Canis lupus familiaris: one gene and its partners. Each later gene encodes a partner of the first gene's protein in a complex. Links are inferred from orthologs where the notes say so. Each region holds a gene or a part of one and is shown in the gene's direction. Other genes may lie near its edges.

Region 1 (2,488 bases):
ACTCTCCTCTGTTACCTGATGTCCAGTGACTTGAAGACCTTTGTTTCATGTGTTTTGCCCATTTTTTTGGTCATGTCAGGTGGGAGGGTAAATCTGGTCCCTGTTACCCCTTCTGCAGAAGTCTCAGGCTTTGCATATTTAGGAAAGAAAGAAAAGAACGGTCCTGTGATTGGAGACAAGGATTAGGTAAGGGGACCAGGTTATGAACCCTGTCATGTAAGGAGGTTGGGTTTATTCAAATAATCATAAGCCTCAGGATTTTTTTTTTAAGATTTATTTATTTACTTATGATAGAGAGAGAGAGAGAGAGAGACACAGGAGGAGGGAGGAGTAGGCTCCATGCTGGGAGCCTGACGTGGGACTCGATCCCGGGACTCCAGGATCGCGCCCTGGGCCAAAGGCAGGCACTAAACCGCTGAGCCACCCAGGGATTCCCAGAAGCCTCAGGATTTTGAACAAAGGACCTGAACTGTTTTAAGGTGTTCACTCTGGCTGCTACATGAGAATAAATTGTTACCTGTTTCAGGGTGAGAGGTGGGGCGAGGTCTAGGTTGATATTGGTGGATTTGCTCTTTTGTGTTTTGTGTGGAATCCTTGAAATACATGGGGAGAGTGGCTCAGATGGTTCTTACGCCATAGGAAGTACTGGGAGTTTGAGTTCTCTATTTTAGAGCTCTGGGTAAAACTTTGGGTAGGAGCTTTTGTAGTCTCCTTTCTCCTGCCATCTTCTCTGTACCACAGTTCTTTCAGAAACTTTCAGCCTGACCCTTAGCCCTTCTTTACGTGTGGGAATCTTGTTCTCTGATCTTCTAAACTTGCTTCTGGAGATCCTTTAACTCAGTCCCCATATTCCTTCCAGGCTGTATTTCCTGCACTGAGCACCTACCCACTCCTTGCTTCTCATGGGCCTCCACGACCTGCAGAGGCAGTCTAGGCATTGTTTATCCTCTGGAAGCTAGGTGGAGGTGCTGCTTGTATGCTCTTTGCTTCCCCTTCTGGAGGCCTTTTAGGGCCTGACCTCATTGTCCTTTGCAGAAGTGAGACACCTCAGCTGTTCACTGTGTTGCCAGAGAAGAGAACGGCCACTGTTGGGGGAGCCATGATGGGATCAACCCACATCTATGACATGTCCACGGTGAGCACTTTTGGGGGCTGGGAAAGGGGGCGGAAACAAAGTCTTCTAAGTCTCTCTCTAGATGACAAGATTGATCCCTTTGCTAGGTTATGAGTCGGAAGGGCCCAGCTCCCGAGCTACAAGGTGTGGAAGTGGCCCTGGCACCTGAAGAGTTGGAGCTGGATCCCATGGCCATGACCCAAAAGTATGAGGAGCATGTGCGGGAGCAGCAGGCACAGGTGGAGAAAGAAGACTTCAGTGACATGGTGGCCGAGCATGCTGCCAAACAGAAGGTAGGAGGTCATGGGAACCCAGCTGGGTGTGAGCCAGGGAGTAGATACCAGGGACTCCTTTTTCAGCGACGTCGTGTCCTTGAATATGAGAATGAGGGTGCACTCAGTGTCTGCTGCCCTGAGCTTCCCTGGTGCTGGAAACCTTAGAAATCCTCTGGTGGGCTGCCCTCTTTAAGATGATGAAACTAAGGCACAGGGAGGGGAACTCACCCAAGTCTGAGACTCCAGTTTTAGCACTGTTTCCATAGATCTATGGGGCTGAGTCAGGTTGCCCATCCTTGTCTTGGGGATCATTGGTGGCTTTACCTGTTGTAACCTGTTTCTCTTTCTTTCTTCTAGCAAAAGAAACGGAAAGCTCAGCCCCAGGACAGCCGTGGGGGCAGCAAGAAATATAAGGAGTTCAAATTTTAGGTCTCCCTCACACACCTGGCCTCCTTTAGGCCTTTTGGATGCTTGGGCTTCACACATGGTCCCCAAGAGCCAGCTCTCCCACAATTCCCAAGGGCTTGTCATTTCATGTTCTTATTTTAGACCTGTTTTGTAAATAAAACTGTTTCCCACGGAAAGAGATGCATATGCAACACTTCTGATCCTCCTTTGTCTTTTAACCACCTTGTGCAAAAGGACTAAAACAGGCTTTTTCTGCAACTTCAGGGCTGCTCCAGTGACCAAGGGCATGCACCTGGATCAGATGCTGCAGTTGAGACTGGTGATAAAGTGAAAGCCATGCTGAAATTGTGCCTCACCACTGCCTGTTTTTCTAAGAGGGCTCTCGGGGAAGTACCTCTAGGCCTGGTTTGACCTTACTGCTTTGTCCTTGGAGACTAAAAATAGCCAGCTTAGCACCCTGGCTGGGCTGAGGAAGTGCAGTGGGCTTGGGAAGTAGGCCAGGTCAGGCCTTCCTATAGACCTATGGTCAAAAGAGTCCCAAGTCCATACCTTGGGGAGAACACAGCTCCATATCTAGATTGTCCTGAGTCCATATGAACCCCTGAATAGTTTAAGTCACTAACTTGGGGGGGCGGGGAAGGCTTGCTTTCTTCAAGTTGTCTGGTCCCAAGAAGTCTTCCCAACAGGCTAC
Region 2 (3,500 bases), on another chromosome or scaffold:
CAGTTCCTTGAGTCATGTAGTCTTTTAAGTAGTAGTACTTGAGAATTTTAAAACTGTACCGTAGGGATGCCTGGGTGGCTCAGTAGTTGAGTGTCTGCCTTCAGCTCAGGGCGGGGTCCCAGAGTCCCAGGATCAAGTCCCGCATTGGGCTCCCTACATGAAGCCTGCTTCTCCCTCTGCCTATGTCTCTGCCTCTGTGTGTGTCTCTCATGAATAAATAAATACATTTTTAAAAATAAATAAATAAATAAAACTGTACCTTAAAAGTCACACAAGTCCATTTGCCTCATTGAGAAATTGAGACTCCCAAGAGGTAATACTCTTATTCCAATAATAATGCAGTTTAAGTACCTTCTATATGCCAGTCCCTATCCTTTATGTGCGTTCTTTCATTTGATTTTGTCAAGAACCCTGCAAAGAAGGCATTTTTCTTCCCATTTTACAGATGAAGAAATTGAATAACTTGCCCAAGTTCACAAAACTGGTTGAGGACAGCTGTTTCTAGAGTGCAGGTTTCCTGATAAGGCAGCCTAGAGTTCTTTATCTCAAAGGAGGTAGTTGTGATGAAATCTTTATTGTCCATATAGTCATCGTTTGCCTAAAAAACCTCCCCAAGTTTCATTTCAGCATGGAAATTCTATCTCATTTTACCTTTTTATAAAGAGGGAATCTGTGGATCTCGCGTTAAAGCTTCTGGACGAAGATGAAATTAGAGGCTACAAATTGCATGTCGAAGTGGCCAAGTTTCAACTGAAGGGAGAGTATGATGCCTCAAAGAAGAAGAAGAAGTGCAAAGACTACAAGAAAAAGCTGTCTCTGCAACAGAAGTTTGTGTTGATTTTCGCTTTTTGAATGATTTCATTTACATATCCTAGACTATGTTTTGGGTGTAGCTCCTTAGTTGTGTTCCATCAAATGTATGCAGAAGTTATTTTCAAAGAATTTCATTAGATCATCAGAAACCTTCAGTCATCTCTACTGCAGGATGATCTGGCAGTGGCAGCATGTCTATTTCCTGGAGTGTTAATTTGTAATATAAACCGGGCTTCAATGAGATGAGAGGGCCATCTCTGGAAGAAGTTGAACATGAAGTTAAATAAAATAGTTGAAGCTTGTTTACCAGAGCCATTAGTTCATTTCTAATGTGAATTGACATCAGCTACGCCAGGAGCTAAGGCGTCTGTGTAGGCTCATCAGTAGGAGTTAGAAACAGCAGCTTTTATGACTGTATTTGATAGGGTTGTACACGGTGTGTACAGTAAACATCATCAAATGTCTACTAATCCATTCATGTCAATGGGTTTTTTGAAGTATGCTGGTTTTAAGAAGTTGGCTGAAATGATAAGTATTTTCTTCTATCACAGTGAGTTCTAATAACACTTCTAACACTGCACTCAACTTAATGATAACAGTGCTGATAAAGGAGTTGAGTTGTGATATCCTATAGTTTTTACAGGAATAGGCTAGATACCTACCAATTTTATAAACACCTAGCAATAAAATTTTTGGTTATGTAACAGTAGTTTTACATATTTCAATGTAGTTTGGTCCTTATAATCATAAAATGCCTCAAAACCAATACAAGTAGAATGTATTTTTTGCCCTCAAAGTGTAGGCGTAGATACCAGATAGTCATAAATATTAAATAATTGGCTCTTTACAGGAATCTTACTGGAACATTTGTAACCAGACAGCAGCCCTGAAAAAAGATACATTCTGGGAATTTCAGACACTGGGTCCATCTTTCACCTGCCCATTAGTTTTACTTCCGAAAGTTCTCCAGAAATACATATTGTTATTTTAGAATCGAATAATTAGCATCACTATATACTCAAATAAAGGTTGATTGTAACAACTCCTTTTTTTCTGTCCTGCAAGTATGAAACAAAATTCAGTATCTTGTTCCTGCTCTATTGCATTAGGCAGTTGGACTGGAGACCTGAGAGAAGAGCTGGCCCATCTCGAATGCGCCATGAGCGAGTTGTCATCATCAAAAATATGTTTCATCCGATGGATTTTGAGGTAGGAGGTGATATTCCCACTGATGGAAACACTGATGTGTTTTCTTTCAAGGGAGTCCCAAGCTTGCTTCACCCCATGTTTTCACATGTCACATACCACCCCTCCATGTAGTTGTCAAGGTAGGAAAATAGAGCTAAGAGTGTATCAAAATGTTTAAATTTTCCCACATTCAGCCTAGGGTTCTTTTAGTTGTCCCCCAGGGAACACTGCTTAACACCCACACTGCAGCTGTAAACAGCAGCTACTTACTCTGGGAAATCATTAAAAATATAATCACTGAAAGATTTCTGGGCGCTGCTTATGGATTTTGAGTGCATTTCAACAAGCACAGGCCGGTTTGGGCGGGGAGTCATTTTATACTTGGCAAATGAGAACTTCACTTTGGTACCACAAATTTGATCCTTAAAACAAAACAAAAAAACCCTCAGGTTAATGAAAGACAGCTCCTGGTGTTTAAATACTAAAGGTGGTTTTTCGAGACCTGACGTTCATACAATGCTTTTGTGGCTATTAGGGGGACTTTATAAATACTTAGTGTCCAGGTAAAATTCTAAGAACAGCGAACAAAAGTGAACAGAGTGAAGAAGAGCTGGACAGGTGCAAGAGGTGTGCAAGGTATAGCATGCCGCCGGGGCACCTTGCGCTGGTCTGCCTCTTGTCCTTGGGGCTAGTCTTTTATCCAAACCACAGACGGCACTTGTGTGGCATCAGGTCTTTCTCCTCTCCCTGGAATCTGAAATTAATGACAACCAGTTACACACAAGATAGATAAAGACCACAAGTCAACATAAGTAAACATAAAAATAACAAGTCACACAACAACAAAGAAGGTTCATACTGTGAAACTCCAGATTTACAAATGATCTAGGTGCAACCAAAGACCTTTCTCACTCCTGTGCATTGAAACAGTGAGCATGGCAGTTTCACTGTAGCCCCCTTGGAGAGAACCCCCTATGGTCTGTTGAGCTCCATCCCAGCCCAGAGTCATGTGGTAGAGTTTGCTGTGCACCCATATGGTCTGTGCATCTTTTGAGATCACTGGGGAGATACATGTGGTCAATTTGTAACATTTGATGTTTCTACTGAGTAGAATCCTGACTCATCTTGAAACACTTTTTGAAACCGTTCCCCTGCCAAATAGAGATTTGAAAGGAATTTAGATGGACCCCAGGGTATCCCTATCTATTAGGTATGGCTCCCAATTTCTTAGAGTTCATCTCATTTAAATATTAAATGGCTTTTTAAAATTACATGACCTATTAATGTCTATGACTTCATGTCCTTGGTTTGATGCATGCATTCCATATTCTTAACACTTGAATGTGAATATTAATGCAAACTTAATTCAAATTGTCTGGAACCTCTGTGAGTAGAAGTCTGTTGTGTAATTACATCTGTTTTTGTGTTTTGCTTCTTGCCTTGCTCATTGAGCCACCTAATTTGAATCTGGCCATCACATTGTGCAGACTTAGTTTCTC
Region 3 (4,283 bases), on another chromosome or scaffold:
GCATCTGTCCAGTTCTCTGTAGTTGTACCAATACCTCAGTCCTCATTGCTATATCTCTCACCTAAATGGTCGATCTGCATCTATCTCTCCTCCAATCTGTTTATGCTACTGAGTGATCAAGCCACCACCTGTCCCATCACACCACTCTCTCCCCCCACCAAAACAAAAACAAAACAAACAAACAAACAAAAAGCTCGGTCGTTTCCCATCAGTCCTGAAGTAAAAATCCTGCACCTCTACCCACCTCCAGCTGCATCCTGTACCAGACCCTCCTTCATTCCCTCTGAAGTAGCCATAGTGGCCTCTTTCTGCCGTTCAGTCATTTTCCTCCCATTTGCCGCAGGGCCCCTGCACATGTTGTTCTATATGGAACGCTCTGCCTTTCTCCCTTGACCCAAATAATTACAATTCTTCCTTCAGGTATCAGTTCGGGCATCTTTTCCTCACAGAGGCTTTTCTGCTTATTGCAGACACTCATAACATCAGGCACCTCTCCTAGGCAGCACGTATTTTAAAGCTCTTAGTGAGATCACTGTTTAACATGCTTGCCCTCAATATTCAAATATTTGAATTGTTTGTTTGTTTTTAATTTATTTATTCATGAGAGACGGGGGGGGGGGTGCAGAGACACAAGCAGAGGAAGAAGCAGGCTCCATGGAGGGGGCCCGACGTGGGACCATCTTTGGTTCACAATGTATCCTCTCAGGGCTCTTTCCAATAAACACCAGTTGGACAATTAAGGAGACCTAGTTCCCAGATATGATTCCGAATTTCTCCACAGGACTGTGCTCTGGAGAAGCAGCAGTCGGATACTCCTCTCATCCCTGTCTCTCCCAGAGGCACTGAGCAGGCCCTCGTAAAAGGCTGCATGACCAGTGGCAGAAACAAGCCGGCCTCCTCAGTCAGAGAGAGGAGCCTGGTGGAGCTGGGAGACAGGCCCTTCCTCCCTGGGGGCGTTCGGCACAGGCACAGGGCTGGACACGGCAGGCGCTGGACGAACGAGTCGGCGGACGAGGGCCCCGGGCGGCCGCAGAGACCCCAAAGCCCTGCTCCAGCCTAGAAGGGGAACCCAGGCTGCTACGCGCCGACGCTGGGACCCCGGGGCCCGCCTCAGGCCCCTGCAAACCTTCAGCTGAGAAGAGCCAGGCTCACGTCACACAACCGAGGCGCCGTCTCTAGATGCCGCAGCCACCCACCCTCGACCTTCCTTCCACTTACTCTGGGTCAGCTCCCGGTCTCCCGGCCGCAGCATTGCGCGAAACGCCAAAACCAGACAACGCTTCCACCCACAAGACCCAGCGCGCCTAGGTGGGACTCCAGCTCCACCCACCAATCCCAGCACCGCACTCCCGTGACGCCAGAAAGAACTGACCAATAAAAGAAGAGTATTCAGGGAGGCGGTGCAGAGGGGATTGCTGCAGACCGATTGGTTACTCCAAGCCGGAAGTTCTGGGGGAAGAACTAAGTCGGAACCAATCGCGCGCTGCCTGAGGGTGTCGGCGCGGTCAGTGGCGGCGCTGAGGAGAGCGGTTGCCGCCATGATAGAACAGCAAAAGCGCAAAGGCCCGGAGTTGCCACTGGTCCCAGTCAAGCGGCAGCGGCATGAGCTGCTGTTGGGAGCGGCGGGGTCGGGCCCCGGAGCTGGGCAGCAGCAGACGGCGCCGGGAGCTTTGCTACAAGCGGTAAGTGGAGTCGCGGGCGGCCCTCGGGCCTCAGCTCATCTTCCCCTCAGGGAGCCCGCCCCCGGTGATCCCGCAGTGCGGGGTAGGAACGGGAATAGCTGCCTGCAGTTCACACAGGAAACACTGTAAAAGCGGTCGACACCCCCCCTGCCCCCCCGGGACGCTCCGCTCGTTACCTGGTTGGACGCCCGCTTTCAGCGTCTCGACCACCCTGGGAGGTGGCGTTACATTTAGCGTTAAGGACCTTGAAGTCAAAACCCGCACCGGGGCTTTTTCGTATTAAATCTTCCACAGGGACCCAGCGTGGAGTAAACATTCAGAAAACTTTGTAGAACGGCTGAAAAAAATGAATGAATGAATGAATGAATGAATGAGGAGAGAAAGGAAACGAATGAGCCCGGCTTGCTTTGGTCAAGATGCCCGCCCCCCCCCCCCCCCCCCCCATGTCTCAGCACTAGTACTGTTACTAACAACAACGGAACGAGAGCTGACCTTCATTTAATACCTGTCCTAAGGGCTTTGTGTATGAAAACCCCATTAATCTTGGTAACAGCTTAAGAGTTAGGAACTCTCAGTGCCCTGTTTTGTAAGCTCTTAACCCGGTAAGTGATAGGAAACGGTTTTAAAGCCGAATCCATGCTCTTAACTGCATTTCTTGTAAGATGGAGGTAATAACGATCACCCCTCTGCTGGGCTGGTAGGCTCCGATCAAGAAGTAAACGTCTCCACTCTCAACCTCTCCACCAGCCGGTGAGCAAATCCTGCTGGCACACCGTCCTCAAAATAGATGCCAAATTGCTAATCCTTGTGCCACCTCCATCACTCGCCCCTGGTCTAAGCCGTTATTTTTCTCATCTGGCATTATTGTAGTGAGGTCCTAACTGGTATTTCCTGTTTCTATTCTTTTATGGTCCATCTATTCTCAGTCCAGTGGCTAGAGAATCCTGCTAAAGGTCAGCTCGTGTTACCCTCTGCTGAAAACTTTTGATGGCTTTCCATTTCACCCAGGGTTAAATCCTTACAATCCTTAAAATCTTTTGCCCATTTTCCCTTTACCTCTCAGATCTACCAATTTTCCATTACTCCCCCTGCTCCAGTCACACTGGCTTCCATGCTCTTGCCTCAAAGCCTTTGCATTTGCTGCACTCAACTGGAATGCTCTTCAAAATATCCACGTGGTTTACACACTCAGATCCTCCAAATCTTTGTTCAGATATCACTTTTTCAGTAAGGGCCTTCCTGACTACCCTGTTTTAAATTGCAATACCCCATATGTATTAATCCACATCGCTTTTTTTCTTCCGTAGCACATACCAACCTGCTATATGTTTTGTTTTCTCTCTTCGTCTCTTCTCTTCCTCCTTTCCACGGGAACACAAACTCCATTGTTTATTTTGTTCAGTACTGTTTTCCCAACGCCTAAAACAGTGCCTGGCACGTTAATTTTTTTTTTTTTTTAAATAAATGAGTAAACTGAAAGCTATTAAGGATGTTTGGGGATTATCAATAGTGTACCAGGTCTTCTCTCTGACCGGAATGTCAGCCCAGGTTCCAGTGAATTGTCCAAGCCTAGGTTTAGTGTCAAGACCATAGTCAAAACTACTTTCCTGGGTAATATGTACCTTGCAGGGTTGTTGGGAAGCTCAGTTCAGGCATTAATTAAATGTGCTAGAGACTGGGAAAAGTGTTGAATGCAGGGTCCCTGCAGTCACAAAGCTGCTTTTCTACCGGGGAAGAGGACAAAATGTGTAAACCAATACAAAGGAAGGTGATTTCAGGTAGTCTTAAGTGCTGTGAGGAAATACAGTAGGATTAATGGAATACAGAGGGGAGGTGTGATGCTGCTTTGAGTTTGAGTGATCAATGAAAGACTTTCTGAAGAGGAAACATTTGGAAAGAGCTAAACACAGGACGATCAAGGGAAGAGGATTCCGATCAGGAGCAAGAAGTGTAAAGATCCTGAGACAGAAATGAGCTTAGCATATTTGAGCAATTTAAAGTTGGCTATGGGACAGAAGGAGCCTGAGGGAGTAGTCAGTATAACTGGTAGACACTGGACACTTGAGTAGGAGGGTATCAAATTGGAGGCCTAAGTTAATGTGAGAAGAGTTACCATTCTCTAAATCAGGAGAAATCTACTCAATGATTGTTTACCGTGTCTTTTGTAGTCTCCTTTGCCTGTATGTAGTAACTACCCTGTACTTCTGTCTTTTGTTTAGGGACCTCCAAGGTGTTCCTCCCTTCAAGCGCCAATCATGCTTCTCTCAGGACATGAAGGGGAAGTGTACTGCTGCAAGTTTCATCCCAATGGATCCACCTTAGCATCTGCAGGCTTTGATCGACTGATATGTAAGAGATAGTTTTTGAAGTTGGGATAATCACTCTCTGCTAAATAGTGATTATTTTTTAAAACCTTTAGTGCCACAGAGTGTATCAGTCTGGATTATTCGCATTACAAACTGCATAGCTAAAACAGTGTAAGGAGAATGTTGAATGATCTTGAATATAGACCTCAAGATCCATGTGGTAAATACAGAGGAGATTATGTTACTAGTTGAAAAGTGAGTTGCTCTTCTTTGAGAATATCTTCCTCATGGAGGC
Region 4 (4,174 bases), on another chromosome or scaffold:
CCACTGTTTGCTGTAAATGTTTAATCACTTGCAATTAAAAAGTTTCCATGTGGTTAATATTACGAGCTTTGGAGTCAGATCTGTTTGAATTCCCACTCTAATGCTCATTGGTTATTTGACCTTGGTCAAATTGGTTAACCAATCTAAGTCTGTTTCTTCATCTGTAAACAAACGTATGCTTGACGGGGATGGGAGAACCAAATGGGCCAATGTATGTAAAACCTCTAGAATAGAGACTGGCATAAATAGAAGCAGCTCCTCTCCACCCGGATAGTGGCACAGGGTCTGTCCCAACCAGACAAGGCAACACTGAGATGGGAGAACAAAAAGATAAAGGTGGGTCAGACCACAACACAATTAGGAAATTTCAGGGGAAGTTGCCTAGCCGGGTCATTACATTCTAATGAGGAATAATCTCTTCTGAGTGGTTGTCTGCATCCCTACCATGGAAGACTCACCGTCACCCCGTATTTCAGTGCGAGTCCAGCCAGGGTGTCTCCGGGGGCCAGCTGATGCTCCAGGCGTCTTTCCCTCACCGGGGAGCAGGCTGACTGCACCAGGCTTCCGTAAGAACGAGCCCGGCTCCCCTGTAGCAGTCCTGACCCCCCGAGGGGGGCCTGTCTAGAGGACGAAGCCATCTCCTCACCCCGCCGGCAGCTGGGGTTGCAAGTGAGGGAGGCCTGGCTAAGTGCCGACAGCCACGGGGCTGGGGGCGAGGGACGTCTATCCAGGGGGTTCCTTTCCCCCGTCTCCTCTCACAAACCCCCGTCTGCCCCGGCACTTCGCGCCCCCGCGGCTCTCGTTTGTCCCGCTTCCCAGGCGCCTTCCCACGAATCTGTATCCCGAGGATCCAGTCCCTACCAGAGTCTCTCCTTATTAGCACCCCGCTGACTTTCAACCCTCCCACCACTATGAACTCTGACCTTTGAACCGTAGTTACCCTCCACACTCCGCTCAGCTCGCCCCTCTCCCCCAGGTCAGGCAGCCTCCGCCTCCCAGGTTCCCTTCACACCCCGGCCCCGCCTCGTCCCGGGTTGGTCGGCTTGTGTCAGGAATAAATCCAGCCCCCTCCTGGTGGGCTGTCGGCGGCCAGGGAGGCGCGTGAGGACCGCGAGAGTTTGTACTACACGTTCCACTCAGAGATCTTCCAAGGCCCGCTCCTCAGCAAATCCGTCACGGCCTCAACGTCGGTCTCCACATTTAAGTTCTTGTCTCCCCAGACGCCTCGAATCAGCCAAGATGCAAGGGCCGGGAGCCAGCTGGGTGGCAAGCCCTTTGAAAAAAAGACTTCATTTCCCAAAACGCCCCGCGCCTGCGGGGTCGCCGGGTCGCGTGGGCAGTGCGGTCGGCTCCGCAGGCTGTGGGCGGGCTTTCCGCGAGCGCTGTGCATCTAGGGAAGTAAGGAGGCCAACCGGAAAGAAACCCGACGGGAGAAGACGCCTTACTCTCGCTACGGTGGCCTGAGAGGAGTGGCCGAGGCGGCTCGGGAGAATTGTTCGCTTCTGGAGCTCAGTCGTAATGTCTTTCAAGAGGGAAGGGGATGATTCGAGTCAACTCAATGTGCTCAAAGTAAGCGCGAGAGGGGAGCATCGGGAACAGTTTCACTGCCCCGTGAAGGAGCTGTTTTGTTGCTCTGGCAACAGCTGCGGGGCCGGCGCGACCAGAGCTGGGTAGTGACCCCTTCTTCGCCCAGTGATCTCTGTTCTCATGGTCCTTTTTGCCTTTCAATCTTTGACCCCTCCCTCCTCTCCCACTGGTCCCGTCCGGCTACCCCCTGCAGAAACGGAGAGTCGGGGACCTGCTGGCCAGTTATATCCCAGAGGATGAAGCGCTCATGCTACGGGATGGACGGTGAGGGCGAGGGGTGATCAAGCCCGAGGGTGCTGCGGTTATAGGCTTCGTATAATTTTGTTATCAAGGGGGGAGCGGGAGTATCTAGGATTTTCTGATGGGGGATGAGGGACAGGGATGTGGGTGGTGGAAATTGGGAGACCCTAGAGTTTGGTTTTGGAAAGGGTTGCTAGGTCCAGGTGGAACCAGACCCCACTCACCTGGCACCGAATATCTTCTACCCTCCTCTCCAGCTTCGCTTGTGCTATCTGTCCCCACCGACCTGTACTGGACACCCTGGCCATGCTGACTGCCCACCGTGCAGGCAAGAAACATCTGTCCAGTAAGTGAGGGAAGACAAATCTCTGCAGATCACTCTTGCGGTTTTGTTTTTAATTCTCTTCCCCTCTACCTTCAGGCCTGCAGCTTTTCTATGGCAAGAAGCAGCCAGTAAAGGGAATGGAGCAGAATCCAAGACAGCAGAATGAATTGAGGCAGTCAGAGATCAAGGCTGAGGTAGGTAATCAGGGAGGGGAGGGTGTGTTTTGGGTGGGCCTGCTGCACATCTTAGGCTTGAAGGGCTTCGACTTCTTTCTAGCTCTGAAGACACTGACTGTGTTTCCCATCTCCACACCAGGCTCCTCTGTTAACGCAGACCCGACTTACCACCCAGAGTGCTCTGCACAGAGCTCCTCACTATAACAGTTGCTGCCGCAGGAAGCACAGGTCTGTGGGGTGGGAAAGCCAGAGGTAGGGCGGGTCAGAGGAGATAGATGGCTCTAAGATAAAGGTATTACAAATTGTATTCTCAGGAATATTAATACTCCAGAGATGTTTACTGATATTTCAGAAAAAAAAGAGAATGTTGCTTTTTTTTTTTTTTTTTAAGTTTAGGAAACGGCACTTTGGTTTTTGTTCTAAAGATTTTACTGATTTATTCATGAGAGACAGAGAGAGGCAGAGACATAGGCAGAGGGAGAAGCAGGCTCCCTGTGGAGAGCCCAATGCAGGATTCAATCCCAGGACCCCGGGATCATGACCTGAGCCGAAGGCAGACACTCAACCACTGAGTCACCCAGGTGCCCCAGGAAATGGCACTTTGTGATCCTACTTGAAGAGTAGTAATATTAATATATTCGAAGGGCTCTACAAAGTCTAAAGATTAAAAAAAAAAAACCCTCAAAATGTTATACTAGCCTTTTAAAAATTCATATGATTCCAAAATTCTTTTTTTTATGCAAGACATTTACTAATATCTTGAGGAACACAGTTTAGGAAACACTTCTGTAAGGGATTGGGAGTCATAGGAGAATTGGCCTTTTTCCTTTACTACTTTTATAGACGTTGATTCTTCTCTACCTAGACCAGAAACCCCTCGTCCCTCTGTCTCCCATCCCCCTTTACCACCCCCAGAGGTTGAGCCTGAGAGTGGGAAGATCACTAAGGAACCCATGCCTGGAGCTGGCCCACAGGCCAAGGAGTCAGCAACTGTCTCATCCCCTGTGCCCATGAGCCCCACGAGGAAACGAGCCCTGGATCATTACCTCACCCTTCGAAGGTTTGTATGCAGAATCACTTTCTTCAAGTTTTCTCTTTTCTTTCTGAGTTTTCTTATTTCAATCCTTCTCAATTGTTTTTCTCTTATCCCCATTAACTTCTTAAACCTCTTTTCCTGATTTATTCTATTTTCTGTTATTTGCAGCTCTGGATGGATCCCAGATGGACAAGGTCGATGGGTAAAAGATGAGAATGTTGAGTTTGACTCTGATGAAGAGGAACCTCCTGACCTTTCCTTAGACTGATACCCTCTTTTCCCCCTCAGTTCACAAATAAATTTCAGCAGGCTCCAGGAGTCTAACTTTCTTCAAGTCTACTTCCTTGCCCCATTTCAGGATTTCACTGGTGGATTTTTTTTTTTTTTTTTAAGTAGGCTACACACCCAATGTGGAGCCCAATGTAGAGCTTGAACTCATGACCCTGAGATCAAGACCTGAGCTGAGATCAAGAGTCAAACTCTGATTAACCAACCAAGCCACCCATTTCAGGTGTCCCCCATTTCAGGACAGCCAGGCCCATTCTTCCCTGAAATGTACACAGCTCCCCATACTTCTGACCCCTCCCCCACCTTCAACCAAAGTACTGCCAAGCGTCAGCTGCATGCAGCCCAATGCCCTATTAATAAGTCTGTCAGAAGGAGGTCTTTGCCCTTCATGTTGTCTGCCTTCTTTTTTTTTTTTTTTTTTTTTTTTGTTGTCTGCCTTCTTCCCCACCTTCACTCAAAGTTCTTTCCTCCTTCAGATCACATGAAGTTGTAGTTAGACACCAGGGGCCCTACCCGTATCTG
Region 5 (2,558 bases), on another chromosome or scaffold:
TGGATATGCATAATGAAATGATCGCTACAGTTGAGCTAATCAACACGTCCTGAAATCCACTCTCTTGGCAAATTTCTAATATTCAATACAGGATTAACTTCAATCATCATGCTGTGTGTACATTAGATCTCTAGACTTACTCATCTGTACCTAACTGCAGAACAGAACTATTTTAAAGTCATCTTTCTCCCACTAAAGAGTCCCTTCTATTTGCTGCCACAGTTGTTCATCCATTCATCAAACGTTTTTTGAGAATGCGAGCTCTACCAGGCCAAGTATCGCAAGTGTGGTTATCACAAAAAAGATGCCACAAAAGAAGCTATGATAAATGATGGCATCAAAAAAGTATACGCTACTTTCCCCCAAGTAGTTTGAATTCACACGAGGGAGTTCTCAGAAAAAAAAAAAAAAAAAAAGAACCCAAAGCGTAGGCTATAAGGCGATCATAATGAAGCGATGTACAGGAGACTTTACGTCTGTCTGGTGTGGCCAAAGCCGATTTCAAGGAGATGCTTTTGAGCTGACTTAAAGAGAGAAGTTGTTTGCCAAGGGAACAAAAGCATTCCAAGCGGAGGGAACATCTAGTACAAAGAACTGGAGAGGCGAGCGGCACGGAATGCTGAGACACACAGGCTGGGGTGCGTAGGGTGGGGCGAGCAGCTGGAGGCAGGACATCAAATGAAGCAGCTGGAGCGCCGGGGGGCGGGGGGGGGCGGGGGGGGCGGGGCTCGGTGTGGGAGCCCGAACGTGTCGGCGCCCGAACGTGTCGGCGCCCGTAGGGTCCTCGGGCACCGGGCGGGAAACGGCGGCCCCGCCAGCGCTGAAGGAAGACGCACAGCTGGGAGCCGCAGTCGCGTCGACCGATTCTCAGGGTGACCCACCCCGGGCCGTGACGGGGCCCACCACGCCGCCACATTCGCTCCGAAACCAAAGTTACACCGAGGTTACTCTCACGGCGGCCTGTGGCAGCTCCCCATTTCTTCGCAGCTCCCAGCCGCCCAGGGATGCTCCCCGCCTCCCCGACACGACGCTCCACCAGGCGCCGGCGGGCTCTTAAACCGCGACGACCGCCCAGGGAGGCGGGCGCGCACGAACCCTCGGCGACCGCAGCTCCCGGCATGCAACGCTCCGCGCTAGAGCAAGGGCCACTGAATGAACCATGATGCAACGCTCTACGGAGGGGGCGGAGCTCTCCATGGCGGGGGCGGGGGGTGGGCGGCCGACTGGTAGCGTCGCCTAGGCAACTCCAATTCCCTGACGGAATACACTTCCGCTTCCTCCTCTGAGCGCTAGGACCGCGAGTCCTCGCGGCTCCGTGGCTGTGACGTCATTCTCCTGCGACTGAGCCGGCCGGGAGGTGCCGTGTCGTGGGCTCTCTCCCGCGTGGAAGTCTAGAGCAGCTTCTCCTCTGCGGCGTCTGACCTGGGCGCGAAGGGAAAGCGGCGAGATGACTGACCGCTACACTATCCACAGCCAGCTGGAGCACCTGCAGTCCAAGTACATCGGCACGGGCCACGCCGACACCACCAAGTGGGAGTGGCTGGTAAACCAGCACCGCGACTCCTACTGCTCCTACATGGGCCACTTCGACCTTCTCAACTACTTCGCCATTGCGGAGAATGAGAGCAAAGCGCGAGTCCGCTTCAACTTGATGGAGAAGATGCTGCAGCCTTGCGGACCGCCAGCCGACAAGCCGGAGGAGAACTGACACCCCCGTCTCGTCACTGCCACGCGGGAGCGTGTCCCGAGTTCCTCCCGTTTGCCGTTTCTCCCGCGTGTTCCTGCCCCGAAGTGGACCGGTTCTCCATTGCTCCTGTTTCTCGCGCCTTCCTCGTGCACAAGTGCTTAGCTGAGGCCGTCCCGCCTGACCTGCTTTCCTGTGGACCCTTAGGAACAGCGTTGGGAGACTGTCAGGACCCGTGAGAACTGAGACGGTGGAGAGGTCCTAAACCAGCAAGAGAGGGGGGAAGGAACTGGGATCAGACGGGATTTGGAGGCTCTTTTTTGGCTAGTTGATTGTCGTTTCTTTTTCCATAAAGTCTAGAAGTTTTTCAATCACTTGGTGTGGACCACTTGCGTTTGAGTGGAAGGGGGTCCAAGGAGGGCTTTGGGGACTTTAGTTTCTTGGGAGACCGAAGAGGCGGGAGATGGATGGGTGGAGGAGTTGAGCACAGGGCCAGCGTTCATTGGCATACAGTTAAATCCGCCTTGCACGATCTTTATAATATTCCCCAACCCAGACTTCTCCCAAGAGCTTTTTTCAGGCCCATAATGCCTTCAGGACTGAGGATTAAGGTTTATGATCACTGTATCCCTCTTTCATGTTCTTGCATTCAGAAAAATCTTTACTAGCATTGCCCACTCCTCTATGTAAGTTGCATCGTCTCTTTCTCTTGGGATTCTGGACACATCCTGAAAAACGACAGGCTGTCAGACGAGTTCTTTCATTCATTCGGCATTCAACAAATACTTGTTGAGTCAGTTCTATGTGGTGGGCATTTTGCCTCGCTTTTGGAGCTTATGTTATACTTGGGGGGGCACACAAATTGTAGGCATAA
Region 6 (4,232 bases), on another chromosome or scaffold:
AACCAGCAGCATGAGCCGGGGCCCCAGAGGCCGCTGCCCGGCCCCCTGCCCCCTGCCCCCTGCGCACCTTGCCAGTCATCTTCTGGATCTCATTCCTGTAGAATATGAGGCTTCTCCGCATGAACTCGTAGCTGGGGGAGAAAGTGGAATGTGCTCACTCAGGCCCCCCCCTCCCCAGCCCCTGGGCAGGCCCACACCTCACCTGGCTCGACGCAGAGCCCCCATCCACTCCTGACACTGCTCCTCACTGCAGCACTCAAAGTGGTACTTCCTCTCTGGGTCCTCCATGAAGCCTGCGGAGGGAGCGGTCTGTCTGTCCCATCTCACTGCCCGCCGCCCCCTCCGAAGCCCCCCCACGGGCCTCCACCTTCCTCCAGGCCAAGACGACTCCCAGCGGCTGAGTGGACTGAATGGTGCCCCCCACACAGTAGTTCCAGTCCTAACCCTAGAGCCTGTGGCCCAGATACAGAACCCTTCAGAGTGCGGCTACTTAATAAGTCAGGGGAGAATAGGCGGCACAGGACGTCCCCGAGAACATGAAGGGGGGACACGAACACCCTAGGAGTCCTTCTGCAGAGGCAAGGGCGCTGCCAGCTGCCGGCCACCCCGGAAGCCAGGCTCGCCTGGGACAACCTCCCCGACAAGGATCCCCCGCAGGCCCAATGACGTCACTTCTCCAGCCCCAGGGCGCCCACAGCAGGGCCCGGCAGCCCAGTGCAGCACTGCCCAACAGGAGACAAGGTCCTAGAGGAGCTGCACCCCGGCAGCCCGAGGGAAGGGTGGACTTTGTCTCCGCGCAGACCCGCGGCCGGGCCGAAGGGGCAGGGCGGGCGCGGCACTCACAGATGGAGAAGCCGCTGGGCTCTTCCTGGGTGATTCTGCAGCGCTCCAGCAGCAGGGCTCCGACGGGCTGCGGGAGGGGGCGAGTGGGGACCGGCCTCGTGGGGACCCGGGCCCCCGCCCCCGCCGGACCCCAAAGCCCGCCCGGCGCGCCCCCCCCCACACCTGTCCGGGCCCCGCTCCCGGCCCCTCCCCCCGCCCCGACTCCTGTCCGGGCCCCGCCCCCGGCCCCTCCCTCCCCTCCCCCCCAGGCCCCCTCCCTTCCCGGCCCCGACACCTGTCCCGGCCCCTCCCCCGGCCCCGCCCTCCCCTCCCCCCCCCCAGGCCCCCCTCCCTCCCCGGCCCCGACACCTGTCCCGGCCCCGCCCCCCGGCCCCGCCCTCCCCTCCCCCCGCCAGGCCCCGCTCCCTTCCCGGCCCCGACACCTGTCCCGGCCCCGCCCCCGGCCCCTCCCCCGGCCCCGCCCTCCCCGCCCCCCGGGCCCCCGCTCTCTTCCCGGCCCCGACCCCCGCCCGTCGGCCTACCTCGGCCTCGTCCGTCCGGAAGTAGAAGAGGAAGTTGACCACCAGCTTCACCAGCCGCCGCTTCAGCACTGCGGGCACAGGGCGGGCTCACGCGGGCTCGGCCGCCACCCACCCCCGCCCGGCCAGCCCGCCCGCCCGCCCGCCCGGCGCTCCGGCCCGCTCACCACTGCCTTTCTTGGGGCCTCGCATGCCCAGCTCGGCCGCCAGTTCGGCCGGCTGCCGGGACAGCGCCTGCAGCTCCTTCTCGTTGTAGCGCATGGCGCTGCCAGGACCCAAAACGCGGAGCGCGGGCCGCGCCCTCCCGGCCGCCGTCCCCTCTCGCGCCAAAAAAGTCCTACAGTGCCGTCCCGGAAGCGCCGTCGCGGCCACTGCGCTTGCGCGGCCCCGAGACACGCATTGTGGTGTTGGCCGGCGCGCGGCGCTAAGCCAGGCCCGCGTGGGGGAGCACGCGATACCGGCCGACACGGACGGCCGTTATAAATAACCACGCAGTCAGCTGGATCCGAGGTGGGAACCCAGGAAGGCAGCCTCACGACCGTGGCGCCCTCTACCGACGAGCCCACGCCCGCCCTCCCGCGGAAACCGGCCCGGCGCCCGCTAGGCGTGGAGAGCCTGGTGCGCACGCGCACTCCCGAGTTCCGGCCCTTATTCCCAGCCCCGCCCCCTTTCCTCGCCCTCTCGAGCATCAGGTCCGCCTCGCCTGGCGAAGCACGCATGCGCACACGGGAAGCCCTCACCCCTCTCCCCAGACCCCACCGTTTGCCCCCGGAAGCGCTTCTGTAGCCCGCGACGCGCCTGCGCATAACGTCTTCGTGGCAGCGGCGGGCGCGGGGTGAGGAGTCGCGCGGGGTGAGGATCCGGGCTGGCCGAGCGCGGCGGTCCCGGGGCCCTGGCTTCCCCGGACGGGAGCGGCGGGGGGCGGGGGGCTCTCGGGTTCGCGGCGCCGCCGGGCCCCAGCTCCCTGGCCGCGCGCGGGGTCGGGCCCGACGAGTCCCGCCTCCTCGGAAGTGTGCGGGTCGGGTCGGGGCCCGGCGGCGCCGTGGGGTCCCTGGCGGCGGGTCGGGGGGGGGGGGGAGGCCGAGGGGGCGCCCGCGACGGGCCCGCGCCCTGGCGTCCCGGGGCTGACGTTGACTTCGGTTGTCCGCGAACGTGCGTGCTGAGAATTTAGGGTAACAAGCTCTAGACTGAGCATCCCTCTTGGGGCCCCCAGGCGGCCCAGGGCGTGACCCCGGGGTCCCGGGATCGAATCCCCCATCGGGCTCCGCGCAGGGGGCCTGCTGCTCCTCTGCCTGTGTCTGCCTCTCTCTGTGTGTCTCTCATGAATAAATACAATCTTTAAAAAAAAAAAAAAGATTTGTATTTGTTTATTAGAGAGGGGGAGGTAGAGTACAAGCAGGGGGAGGAGAGGGAGAAGCAGGCTGACTGCTGAGCGGGGAGCCCGGGACCCTGGGGTCACGACCTGAGCCACCCGCGCCTCCCGATGGTCTCTGTCCACGGGGGTCTCTGTCCTTTTTTCCGTCCGAACAATGAGATTCTCTCAAGCCCCGGGCCCGGGCTGTTTCCCTTTCTTTGGGAATGCTTTCAGATTTCTTTGAGGATGCCTTCCATGCTTCTTGCTGTTCTCGCTCTGAAATTTCATCTAAGTCCTGTTCTCTTACTTTCCCCCCTGTTTTGCGTTTCTTTGTAAAAGGTTGGTTTGACTTGTACCCGCAAGCTCTTAAGTTCAGCTGTTTCCAAAGGTCTTGGGTTTGGGTTTTAACTGCCCTTGCTAACCTTTGGTGCCGTGCTCTGCATTGGAGGTGTAGTAACTCTCACCCTGTTTTGTTTTGTTTTGTTTTAATTTTTATTTATTTATGATAGATATATATATAGAGAGAGAGGCAGAGACAAAGGCAGAGGAGAGGGAGAAGCAGGCTCCATGTGCCGGGAGCCCGACGTGAGACTCGATCCCGGGACTCCAGGATCACGCCCTGACCGCTGAGCCACCCAGGGATCCCCCCTCTCACCCTCTAATTAAGGAGGATGCTAACATTGCCTGGGGGGGTGGGGGGTGGCTAGCGGATGTGTCTGTGTTTGAGTTCCCAGACTCTAACCTAGCGAGTCTCACTGCCCAGCAGGCCTAGGAAACCAGACAGGCCTAGGTTTCTTTGGGGGTGCAGGGGACTCCCACTGTCAGTGTCTGAGAATACCGTTTCTAGCGTGCTCTCACTGTGTCCCTGGATTGGGGACCTCCAGGTGGACCCTCTGGGCAAGCTGCAGGGGCAGGGCAGGTGTTCATGGAATTCCTTCTTTACAGCCTGGCCCTCACTCCACTCCCTGGCTCTCCAACTCTCTCCCTCTGTGCCTGCCCCTCTAAGTGGAGCGGCCCTTTGTTCAGTTCTTCTGAGACTGTAAAACCTACCCAGGCAGTCGGGTGAGGGCCCCTGGGCTCCTGTAGGGGATGACCTCCCCTGGGGAGGCCAGGAACACTCTGCAGTGGGCTACAAGCAACTGGCACCTTGGGTCTCCAGTGGCTACTGCTTCCCTTTAACTTGGTGACCAGCTCAGTGTTTGCGTTCCGTCTTCCTGAGCCCGTCACTCTAAACGTGGACCCTTTTTGCAACACCCGTGTTGCCTTTGCCCCAGCCAGCCACTAGCATTTGAGGGGCTTATCTGATGGCTTAACAAGGAACTGGAATCCTCACCAGATGGGGTGGGGGGGGGGATCTCCTGGCTTTGTTAACACATTACTTTCCAAGTCAGTCTTATGGCTCTTACTGGCTCCCCACCGCTGGGTCAGTGGGGTGTTCTGGAGATGTCACTGCTAGAACAGGTGACAGGAAGTGAGGGCATGTCTCTGTCCTGGCCCCTGGGTCCCAGCCAAACTGG
Region 7 (2,294 bases), on another chromosome or scaffold:
TTCCCTTTCACTATTATTTATATTCCCCACATGAATGAGAACATATAATGTTTGTCCTTCTCCGACTAACTTACTTCACTCAGCCATAAAAAATATTTAAAAGCACTACTTGTAGTTATCCCTAGTCATCATCTCAATGTTATTGGGACTCAGATCACCATCTTATAGTTCAATATCCCAATCTTCTTCTTTTTTTAAAAAAGATTCCAATAAATAAATAAATAAATTAATTAATTAATTAAAAAAAAGATTCCATTCATTTATTCATGAGAGACACAGGAAGAGAGAGGCAGAGACACAGGCTGAGGGAGAAGCAGGCTCCATGCAGGGAGCCTGATGAGGGACTCGATCCCAGGTCTCCAGGATCACACCCTGGGCCGAAGGCAGGTGCTAAACTGCTGAGCCACCCAGGGATCCCCAATATCCCTATTTTCTTAGATGTTCCCTTGAGGAAGGGGATCTGCATGTCTTAGAGGTGCTGGACTAGTGCCCTGTGAGTTTCTTGGAACTCTGAAAGTCTATAATCTCTACCAACTCCTCAGTTACTGCCTTTCATGATATGTTTAACTAATCAGGAAAGGGACAAGGAGCATAGACTGCAGGAGCCAGACAGACTAGTGTATTAATTTTCTGTAGCTGGGTAACAAATAACCATACACTTAGTGGCTTGAACACATACTCATTATCTCACGGTTTCTGTGGGCAGGCATTTAGGGATGGCCAAGCTTGGTGCTATGCTACAGGGCCACACAAGATTGTAATGAAGGTGTCAGCCAGGACAGAGTTCTCATCTGCAGGAGCCAATTCTACATAGGGACTATAATAACTTGGATGTGTAGATTTATGTATTTCATCAAATTTGGAAAGATCTGCTCACTATGTTTTCAAATATTCTTTCTGCCCCTTTCTCTTTCTTCTCTTATTCTGCAGCTCCAATCAGGTGTATGTAGGTACACAGGAAGGCATCCCATACATTTTTGTTTGTTTCTTAAGTTTCTCAAAGAGTGATCCTTAAGCCAGAAGCATTGACACCACCTCAGAAGTTGTTAGAAATATAAATTCTGGGGCACCTGGGTGGCTCAGTCAGTTGAGCATCTGATTCTTGGTTTTGGTTCAGGTCATGTTCTTGCAATCATGAAATTAAGTAAGCCCTGTGTTGGGGCTCCATGCTCAGTGGGGAGTCTGCTTTAGATTCTTTCTCCCTCTCCCTCCCACTCATGTGTTCTCTCTCTCTCAAATAAATAAATAAACAAATAAACAAATAAATAAATAAATCCTAAAAAAAAAAAAGAAATGTAAATTCTTAGGCCTTGTTGCAGATGTATTAAAGAAACTCTGGGGTCCGCTTCCACCATGGCGTACCGTGGCCAGGGCCAGAAAGTGCAGAAGGTGATGGTTCAGCCCATCAACCTCATCTTCAGATACTTGCAAAATAGATCTCGGATTCAGGTGTGGCTTTATGAGCAAATAAACATGCGGATAGAGGGCTGTATCATTGGTTTTGATGAGTACATGAGCCTTGTATTAGACGATGCCAAAGAGATTCATTCTAAAACAAAGTCAAGAAAACAACTGGGTCGGATCATGCTAAAAGGAGATAATATTACCCTGCTCCAAAGTGTCTCCAACTAGAATGAATGATCAGTGAAGTGAGAAATTCTTGAGAAGGCCACGTAGTTTGTTTTTTTAGATGTCCTTTGTTGGGAATATAGTTCTAAAACCCTTGTTCATATTGTTTTGATTACCTTTATGTTCTTACCAGAGGACAATAAATGCTGTGGGATTGTTTTTATTAAAAAAAAAAAAAAAAGAAAAAAAAAGAAACTCTGGGGATGAGGCCCAACAATCTGTGTGTGTGTGTGTGTGTGTGTGTGTGTACGTGCATGCGTGCATGTGTGTGTGTTTTAATTGAAGTTGATACACAATGTTATAGTAGTTTTAGGTGTACAACATAGTATTTGACAAGTCTACATATTATGCTATACTTACCGAAAGTGTAACTACCATCTGCCACCACACAACCCAATTACAATATCATTGATTGTATTCCCTACCCTGTACTTTTCATTCCCTTGACTTATTCATTCCATAACAAGAAGTCTGTACTTCTTACTCCCTTTTACCCATTTTGCCCATCCCCCTAAACCCCCTTTGACAACCACCAGTTTGTTCTCTGTATCTATGAGTCTGTTTCTGTTTTGTTTGTTCCTTCATTTTGTTTTTTTAGTTCCACACATAAGTGAAATCATATAGTATTTGTCTTTTTCTGTCTGAGTTGTTTCGTTCAGCATAAT

Evidence for each region.
Region 2: SF3B2 (region 1) and HTATSF1 share a complex: the UniProt entries of both Homo sapiens proteins name them as parts of the 17S U2 SnRNP complex. The link is inferred for Canis lupus familiaris from reciprocal best matches to the Homo sapiens genes SF3B2 and HTATSF1.
Region 3: SF3B2 (region 1) and SNRNP40 share a complex: the UniProt entries of both Homo sapiens proteins name them as parts of the minor spliceosome. The link is inferred for Canis lupus familiaris from reciprocal best matches to the Homo sapiens genes SF3B2 and SNRNP40.
Region 4: SF3B2 (region 1) and SCNM1 share a complex: the UniProt entries of both Homo sapiens proteins name them as parts of the minor spliceosome. The link is inferred for Canis lupus familiaris from reciprocal best matches to the Homo sapiens genes SF3B2 and SCNM1.
Region 5: SF3B2 (region 1) and SF3B5 share a complex: the UniProt entries of both Homo sapiens proteins name them as parts of the SF3B subcomplex of the 17S U2 SnRNP complex. The link is inferred for Canis lupus familiaris from reciprocal best matches to the Homo sapiens genes SF3B2 and SF3B5.
Region 6: SF3B2 (region 1) and SF3A2 share a complex: the UniProt entries of both Homo sapiens proteins name them as parts of the 17S U2 SnRNP complex. The link is inferred for Canis lupus familiaris from reciprocal best matches to the Homo sapiens genes SF3B2 and SF3A2.
Region 7: SF3B2 (region 1) and small nuclear ribonucleoprotein E-like share a complex: the UniProt entries of both Homo sapiens proteins name them as parts of the minor spliceosome. The link is inferred for Canis lupus familiaris from reciprocal best matches to the Homo sapiens genes SF3B2 and SNRPE.

The regions. Positions count from the first base shown.
Region 1 is NC_049239.1:51,700,026-51,702,513, reverse strand, and holds the end of SF3B2 (splicing factor 3B subunit 2), read left to right. Parts: intron 1-1,035; coding exon 1,036-1,135; intron 1,136-1,221; coding exon 1,222-1,407; intron 1,408-1,746; coding exon 1,747-1,818; 3' UTR 1,819-1,988; downstream 1,989-2,488. UniProt on the Homo sapiens protein: Component of the 17S U2 SnRNP complex of the spliceosome, a large ribonucleoprotein complex that removes introns from transcribed pre-mRNAs.
Region 2 is NC_049260.1:107,807,800-107,811,299, forward strand, and holds part of HTATSF1 (HIV Tat-specific factor 1), read left to right. Parts: intron 1-663; coding exon 664-827; intron 828-1,922; coding exon 1,923-2,022; intron 2,023-3,500. UniProt on the Homo sapiens protein: Component of the 17S U2 SnRNP complex of the spliceosome, a large ribonucleoprotein complex that removes introns from transcribed pre-mRNAs.
Region 3 is NC_049223.1:69,116,098-69,120,380, forward strand, and holds the start of SNRNP40 (U5 small nuclear ribonucleoprotein 40 kDa protein), read left to right. Parts: upstream 1-1,483; 5' UTR 1,484-1,538; coding exon 1,539-1,682; intron 1,683-1,858; exon of another isoform or gene 1,859-1,997; intron 1,998-3,901; coding exon 3,902-4,031; intron 4,032-4,283. UniProt on the Homo sapiens protein: Required for pre-mRNA splicing as component of the activated spliceosome. Component of the U5 small nuclear ribonucleoprotein (snRNP) complex and the U4/U6-U5 tri-snRNP complex, building blocks of the spliceosome.
Region 4 is NC_049238.1:60,887,577-60,891,750, forward strand, and holds SCNM1 (sodium channel modifier 1), read left to right. Parts: upstream 1-1,374; 5' UTR 1,375-1,518; coding exon 1,519-1,569; intron 1,570-1,780; coding exon 1,781-1,851; intron 1,852-2,084; coding exon 2,085-2,173; intron 2,174-2,248; coding exon 2,249-2,346; intron 2,347-2,467; coding exon 2,468-2,556; intron 2,557-3,193; coding exon 3,194-3,388; coding exon of another isoform or gene 3,389-3,532; coding exon 3,533-3,632; 3' UTR 3,633-3,693; downstream 3,694-4,174. Other genes in the region: LYSMD1 (lysM and putative peptidoglycan-binding domain-containing protein 1), read right to left, coding at 459-638; TMOD4 (tropomodulin-4), read right to left, coding at 3,371-3,534. UniProt on the Homo sapiens protein: As a component of the minor spliceosome, involved in the splicing of U12-type introns in pre-mRNAs. Plays a role in the regulation of primary cilia length and Hedgehog signaling.
Region 5 is NC_049222.1:35,794,967-35,797,524, reverse strand, and holds SF3B5 (splicing factor 3B subunit 5), read left to right. Parts: upstream 1-1,313; 5' UTR 1,314-1,447; coding exon 1,448-1,708; 3' UTR 1,709-2,058; downstream 2,059-2,558. UniProt on the Homo sapiens protein: Component of the 17S U2 SnRNP complex of the spliceosome, a large ribonucleoprotein complex that removes introns from transcribed pre-mRNAs.
Region 6 is NC_049241.1:57,268,151-57,272,382, reverse strand, and holds the start of SF3A2 (splicing factor 3A subunit 2), read left to right. Parts: upstream 1-1,432; 5' UTR 1,433-1,528; coding exon of another isoform or gene 1,529-1,622; 5' UTR 1,623-1,871; exon of another isoform or gene 1,872-1,979; intron 1,980-2,046; exon of another isoform or gene 2,047-2,213; intron 2,214-2,429; exon of another isoform or gene 2,430-2,533; intron 2,534-4,232. Other genes in the region: PLEKHJ1 (pleckstrin homology domain-containing family J member 1), read right to left, coding at 68-131, 203-293, 844-910, 1,365-1,432, 1,529-1,622. UniProt on the Homo sapiens protein: Component of the 17S U2 SnRNP complex of the spliceosome, a large ribonucleoprotein complex that removes introns from transcribed pre-mRNAs.
Region 7 is NC_049222.1:93,813,111-93,815,404, forward strand, and holds small nuclear ribonucleoprotein E-like, read left to right. Parts: upstream 1-1,334; 5' UTR 1,335-1,353; coding exon 1,354-1,632; 3' UTR 1,633-1,794; downstream 1,795-2,294. UniProt on the Homo sapiens protein: Plays a role in pre-mRNA splicing as a core component of the spliceosomal U1, U2, U4 and U5 small nuclear ribonucleoproteins (snRNPs), the building blocks of the spliceosome.